2 linked regions of the Schizosaccharomyces pombe genome follow. The gene in region 2 interacts genetically with the main gene of each other region. Each region holds a gene or a part of one and is shown on either strand. Other genes may lie near its edges.

Region 1 (3,758 bases), 530 kb from region 2:
AAATTGCCTTGTTCCGCATTTAAAGCCCTAGCACAATCTTCGTTTGTAAAAAACTGAACGAAACCATAATTTGCTTTTAAAACTATCTGTGCTAAAGGCCCATAAATTTTAAAAACTTTCCACAAATTTCGTTTAGATAAGCTCTTTGTATTTAGATGACCCAAAAATAAGCGAGAAGCTGAAGGAAATTGCCCTGGATACCAGTTTGACATTATACTTTCTTCATCTTTCAAAAATTGTTGAAATCTTTGTTCATCCTCTAAGTTCATTTGCAACGATTTCTCGGCAGCATTGTTACCCAAATATTCAACATTTTGTGCTTCATGATTAAGTTGCAAATTTTCAGGACTATACGCAGATTCCGGGGAACTGGGTGTCTGGGGATTATGATGTTCATGTAATTCATTATGCTCATTATAATAATTGGGCAAATTAGCACTATACGAATAAATACTAGTCCTGTGAGCCTCAGGACTAGTTGACAAGTCTTTAGAATAGGGAATAAAATCAGTAGTTCTATAAGGTAAATCTAATTTCTCATGAGACTTTCCATATTCAATTTCTTCAAAATTCACCGAGCTATAAGTTTTTGACGGATCATAATAAGTGGTGTTTTGTAAGGATTGTTCAGGTAAATGCTCTGAAGCGGTCTGAAAATCGTATACTTGTAAATCTTTAGTAGAAGAGTTTTCAGTTTCTTGTTCCACTGGTTCATTGGATATCGAAAAAGGCTTATTTTGCTCAACGTCGAGTGAAGGAGGACTTTGAGAGGTAGATCCGTTTCCCCCCGAAACACTTGGTTGAGTAGTGGAAAGTGAATCCTTACTTTGAAAGTCGGAAGAAGTTGACTCTAAAATTGGAGCTCCATATATGTTTTTAGAAATTTCCTCATTGTTGGTGTCCGAAACTGGAATATTATTATAAGTATCTGAAGGAGTTAACCGAATGTTGCTAGTAGCTGAGTTTAATATTGGTATCTCCAAACTTCCAGAAGGAATACCGGATACTTGATCAAAGTTTGCATCATCTGACTTATTCCCATCCTTATTTTCTAATGTACGTTCATCAACGTTGTTGAATAAAGTGTCGTCTTGTGTTTGTAAAGCACTTATCGAAGCAGCAGCCTGTTTGACAGGTGAGTTGTAGTCTGGTTCATATGGAGATGATACCTGGTCTTGAAGCTCGGAGTTTGTACTGGTTTCTAAAATATTCTGCACAGGAGTTTCCACTTGGAACGAAGAATCTTTAGACGAGGATGACATTTATTGATTGACTTGAAAAGTAAAACCAAAATAAAACATCAAATTTTTTTAATTTATTATTATTAACAGGGAATATGAAGGAGAATTAAGAGGACAGAGTAACAAAAACAAAATTAGCTTTAAAAGATTAAAGTACTAAATTTTATGCATTTGATAAACTGGTCCAATTTTTAAATAAAATATTTACACAAGGTGCAATGAATGGAAATAACTAGAGGGTGAAACAGAAAAAGTAAAAATTTCACACTCAACCAAATGTGTAAAGAGTTGGCGATTAAAAGGAAATTTATGCAGATGGTTTTCTTCCAACTACCTTTATTTTTTTTTCTTCTTCACAACTTTATGTCTTAGGTAGAAGATACGGCGGAGTGGTACTAAAATTGCATCCTTTAAATAGATGAAAAATTAAGTTGCCACTCAAATGAATGGAACTTCGGGCTTTTCAAAACCACCGCCAGGGAAATGACATGAAAACAATTTTACTATCCCGAAATTTTCTTTTTTTCAGCTTCTGCACTGATAGCATAATCGTTTCCAAAACAAACTGTAAACTAAATTTTCATAAAAGCAGTAAATTTTCAAACTTGGAGATATCGGGGTAGGGTTACCGTTATTGCAGTTCAAATAACCATTGCTATTATTTAATATGTATAAAAAAACCATGTAGTAATAGACTCGTGTGCAAAGTACACTTCAGCTGGGTTTGAGGTGCAAGGTTGCCAATTAAGAAACGTAGTACTGATTCTTTTCACCTCTACCATACTTATTCAATGTTAAATGCTTATAACATTGATATCCACGGTTTTCATCCTATATTCAAACTATGCTTCCTGCCTTTAGTAACAAGCTTGCGTAATGCATTGTTTCCTGCATTTATTCGTTTGTTAAATTATAACGATATTTTGACGATTATACTATCCTTCCGTAACGTTAATATAATAATCAAAAATTTATATTGTTATAGGTCTTTAAAGGTAAAATCAATGTAAATAAATGTATTATTGCTAACATGTAGAAAATTTGATACTAACTTGAAAATTTTATGCAAGTACAAAATGGACTGTCCATTCAAGCAATGCCTTTCACTCTTGTATGTTTTGTTAAACTTTGCGTGGAAGAAACGCTTTCAAAATTATGGCTGAAGTTCGATCGAAAGAGAAGGAAACAATAATTACGTTTGCGAGACAAAACTAGTTTTTAAAAAAATTTTGTATATATATTTAAGTGGCTGTTAGTCTAATTATTATTTATTTTATTCATTCTTTAGATTTTATTTTATTTTATTTTTTATGTCGTATAGTATTACTTTATTTACGTTTCAATATGTATTTTTTGTTAAATTGCTTATTCACGAAATATTTTTCCATTTGCAATAAAATTTCTTTTCCTTTACTATATTTGCTTATTTAAAGTTCTTTTTTAATCACAACTCTATGACAATTTTCTACTCCTCATTTATAATACGAAAACTGAACAATCATAAAATTGAACTGTTTTACTTCACATAAATATCCAGCTACGATACTCCTATACCGTTTTTACATAGACAACAATCTCAAAATCGCAATATGATCATCCATTTACATATTCTATACTCTATGTACTATAACGCTTCTTAGTGCCTGGTTTACTCTTTCAAAGCTGTCAGGTGCATAAATATTGATGACAGAAAATCACCACAAGCGCACTCAAAGGCTTAAATAAAATAAACATTATCTATCGTTCGTTTTTTTTGGTAAAGAAAAAATGCTTCCACAAAGTTAAATTGTCACTTTTTCCCCATGTTTTATTTACCTTCAACGCCTCGTTGAAGGCCATTCTGCATCTCAAATTTGTCGCACTTTTCATGCAAGTTGAAAAATTGGTTATACACAATTTAAACCTCATACGAGGAGCTTCTTCCTCTCATCTGATTTTTAACACTGAAGTTTATCCTCATACTCACATATAACAATAGCGTTGGGTGTAGCATGGCAACAAAGGTTCCTGCGGTAGTAGGTAAAAGGCCCCCACGCTTGACTGATCCCCCACGGCTGATGACCACTAGTATTAAGGTCGCTGACGTTCTTCCTTTTCCTTTATACATCTTGTACAGACTGGGTCATTAGGTCTTCTCTCTACAACCATCGTCTAAACAAAAAGATGTCAGAAACTATATCGGATCCTTATCCTCTAACTAATCCAAATGCTCCATTAGGGCACCCAGGGCATTTGAATTCTACACAGCAAGCTACGCTAGATAGCATGCGTTTAGAGTTACAAAAACTTGGATACACGGAAAGATTAGACGATGCCACTTTAGTAAGTTGTACAGCAGGAAACTTTGTGTTTGTACTAATGGATTCTTAGTTGCGTTTTTTGAGAGCCCGTAAATTTAATTTGCAACAGTCGCTGGAAATGTTTATTAAATGCGAAAAGTGGAGAAAAGAATTTGGTGTTGATGATCTTATCAAAAACTTTCATTATGATGAGAAAGAAGCCGTTTCCAAATATTAC
Region 2 (3,758 bases):
TTATCTCCTACATTCTTTCTCTCACCTTTCTTTCTTTTTTTTTCTTTTCTAGATTCTTTCGTTTGGTCTGATGCGCTTTTACTTACTGGACCTAAGTCCCAATCTACTTTAAACATGAAGTAGGGAATAAGATTAAATTTGGTTGTAAGAAAACTTCATCCTACGTACGTCAAACCAATGAAACCATAAAAGTTTCTAAGTATTAAAATAAATAACATTCATTTTTTGTGAACGTAAAATTAAAATAACAAATACTTGAAAAAACTAATCTTGAAATATAAAACTCAGTTTGATTAAGCAATTACGCATATATATAGAATTTTTACTTTCTGATACAAAACACATAAAAAATGATATAAAACACATTAATTTGAAAGAATTCGTCTACAATAGTAGAACAGGACCGATCTTGAAAATAATCATTTCCCTAATTTTTATCATGACTAAAATCATTGATTATGTATATCCAATCTCCCCGAAATCGAATTAAGTCGTTAAAGGAGAAAAGAAGCAGCTACATCTAAATCTCCATTCGCAGCGTCTAACGCCTGCGCAGCCTCTAATGGATCAAATCCCATACTGACTAGCTGTGCAATTTTGGAGTTCAAACCGGGGTCAGTGGGAGGATTTACCAAGGAAGGGGGATTGGAAGATCCCTCATTGTTGGGTGCTACGCTTTCTTTGGTACCAAGACGAGTGCCACTTTGTGGATTAGGTGAAGAAGCGCTCGCCTTACTTGCAGGTTCAATACCTAAACCGTGTGCATTTGCAGATGGCTCCACATTAGCCAGCAATTTTGGAATTTCAGATTCTCCAAGAAAAGGAATTTCTTTTCCATGAATCCGAAGAACGTTATTTTCTAAATCTATACAAGCTTGATAACGGCGTAACATATCAAGACCAAGTAGCATATCAACATCCCGACCTTCAATAACAGTAAATCGACATGGAAGATATAAATCGCCAATCTTTAAAGGTGCACTGTGAACACAACCTAATATTTTAGCCATTCCTACGCCCTTAGCGACACCTTGAAATCTAGTGTCAAGAAGCCTGGTAAGACCGCACTTTTCAGCGCAATCAGCAGACAAAATGGTAGCTTGAGCACCAGAATCCACAAATGCTTTCACCTTATGACCGTTAATCTCAACGTTTACAAAAAGCATATAAACTTGACCAAACACTTCAGGATGGTTTTCTATTGCCGATTGCATATTCTCGGTCACGGCATTTTGACGAATCTGCTCTTCAATACGTCGTTGGACTTCAACATCAAAGAGGTCATCTTCCTACAAAAATGTTAGTAAATCACCTTCGAAAGCCCTTTATTTATTGTGTCCATTAAAACTAAATTATTGGACTCAGCAGTTTATACGGGCGCTATTATGCGAAATTAAACGTACAGAAAATGAAGGCATTCCCATCGAATATGTAGAAGAAGGAATCTGCAATAATTGAGAAGCATTAATGGACTGCCATGTAGTAGCAAACGCATTGGGATCATTAAGGACAGCAGCTAGTTGAGGAAACTCTGTGCGTATTCGATTTAATAGAAAAGGAGTTGCTAAAATCGTTTGACGAATATTTTCTGGTGTTAAATTATTCATTTTTGTGTTTTCTTAATCACTCTTTGAGGTTATGGTAGAGGAAGGACCTGATTTGGCAGCATGACACGACTTGACTAATCGGCCACCCATATCAATTGCCATCCATAAAGGAATGGCCAAATAAGGAAAATAAAAACTCATTATCATCCATTTTTTTTCAGCAAATAACTCGAACATGCAGCACCATGTCGTAGTAAAAGCATGCACCCCGTATATGAGAATTGCAACCCATAAAACTGGATCCCTCGCTTTCTTTCGTAAGCGTAGAGAAACCCAAATAAAAAAAGGAACTTGAAAGAAAAGTTCTGAAGAAAACAATGCAGTTTTCCAAGGCGCAGGGATTAAAAGAATAGGGTCTTCATATGTAGATAAATAAAAGCGTCGCAAACCAGAAAGACAGCTTAAAGAGCCTCCAAGCCATTCAGTTATAGGTAAATCAACAAATAATGCTGCAGCTAGATGGCTTACGAAATAATAGTAATACAAGGTATCCATGTGAAGGCGTGTGGTTGGCAATTTGTATATCTCACTACTATAAATGCGGCGTAATGAAACCACTTTCATGAACCCAAAACATTGATATTCCTCATTCAGAGATTTTGAATTGCTATAGAAAACAATTTTACAATTTTAAACGGTGACATTGAAAGTTATTAGTATTTTTAATAACAACTGCTTCTCTGCGTATTCTATATACGTTACTTAATAATGTATTATCGTGTTTGTTTTAGAGCACTACGTCTAAATAGTTTTATAAAAACAATACGTTAGATGTTACACTTACAAGCAATAGGAAGACGATTGTTTAGTTTCATATTGGTGGTAATCAGTATATCGAGTAATTTTGTGTGCCAATATTAAGTTAAAAAGCCTCAGGCAGATTTCATTAATTAGTTAGTATTACCGCTTAATTGCCTTCATGTACATGATAATGTTAGACCACATTACTATGAAATTTATCAAGTATTAAAATTTAAATGAAATTCAATGTTATCAGTTCTTTTAAAAAAAAATGATGCAATTAGCAGCCTAAATATAAAAAACAGACTCGTCACATTTCGTACTTAAGTGTGCATAATGTTGAATGGTTTTTAGAATGCTATCTTTCTCTAGATAACTAATAATAAAATCATGAAATTCAATTAATTTGATGTAAAAACATTGTTCTCCCACTCTTGCTATATTGTAAGCATTTGAATTCCAAACTTCCTGCCAACAACCTCAGCGAAATTTAATTCACACCTTTCGAAAAGTTGATCGTTTGTTTTGGAAATTGTGTTATAGGGTCTAAAACAAGCGAACATAAAAAGCTGTTTGTAAAAGGTGCGCCCTTTATCAAAACCTGATTTTCTTTATTCGTTTATTATAAACTTTCATTAAAGACCCAAAACACAGACAATGTTTCTTGGAAAAGCTATAATTCTAATACTATGGATTTTTCTAGCTTTTACAGGTCTTCTAGCTATACAATACTATGTTCCTAATCCTTACTTGGATGAAATATTCCATATTGCACAAGCTCAACGCTTTTGTAGAAAAGATTGGGATTGGGATCCGGCGATTACTACACCTCCTGGTTTATACTTGGTTTCAGTCGCACTCAGCCCATTTATAGGCTGCAGCAATGTATCTCTGAGGTTAATAAACTGGCTTGTAGGCGTAATTGGACTGCCATGGCTTATAAACGATATCGTTTCTCTTTTGAATAATAGGAAAGGAGATGTTGTTACCTATTTCGCTTATACGTTATCGTCATTACCTCCTTTATGGTTTTTCTCATTTTTATACTACACTGATATTGGTAGTACTTTTTTCGTCCTTCTTGCTTATGACTTTGCTCTCCGAAAGTCTGCTTTTTCAAGCTCTGTGTCTTGTTTTTTTTCTCTATGGTTTCGACAGACAAATATCGTTTGGATGGTCTTTATTGCAGTTACATATTTTGCTAGCAATATGTCTTTCTTCAATCCCCACTTAGCTGAAGCAACTTTTGCTGATGTTCTTCTTACTATAATTTCATTCTTAGGGGTTTTTCTTAAAAATTTAAGAAGATTTTCGTGCCCAATTCTATCCTATGGTGCAGTATTTTGTTCCTTCCTTGCATTTTTGCTTTGGAATGGCAGTATTGTCTTAGGCGACAAATCTCATCATCAA

The links. Genes that interact genetically often act in the same process or in processes that back each other up.
Region 1: mutations in mud1 (region 2) and nab3 together harm fitness more than expected from each alone (negative genetic interaction), as found in Schizosaccharomyces pombe (one large-scale study listed by BioGRID).

Annotation. Positions count from the first base shown.
Region 1 is NC_003424.3:605,588-609,345, forward strand, and holds the start of nab3 (poly(A)-binding protein Nab3), read right to left. Parts: upstream 1,625-3,758; 5' UTR 1,263-1,624; coding exon 1-1,262. Other genes in the region: spo20 (sec14 cytosolic factor family, phospholipid-intermembrane transfer protein Spo20/Sec14), read left to right, coding at 3,405-3,563, 3,612-3,758.
Region 2 is NC_003424.3:1,136,979-1,140,736, reverse strand, and holds mud1 (UBA domain protein Mud1), read right to left. Parts: upstream 1,620-3,758; 5' UTR 1,608-1,619; coding exon 1,404-1,607; exon of another isoform or gene 1,290-1,403; coding exon 495-1,289; 3' UTR 412-494; downstream 1-411. Other genes in the region: rRNA methyltransferase Rrp8, read right to left, coding at 1-116; protein ema19, read right to left, coding at 1,620-2,171; dolichyl-phosphate-glucose--glycolipid alpha-glucosyltransferase Alg10, read left to right, coding at 3,006-3,758. UniProt on the Schizosaccharomyces pombe protein: Recognizes and binds polyubiquitin chains. Acts as a linker between the 19S proteasome and polyubiquitinated proteins via UBA domain interactions with ubiquitin for their subsequent degradation. Aspartic protease.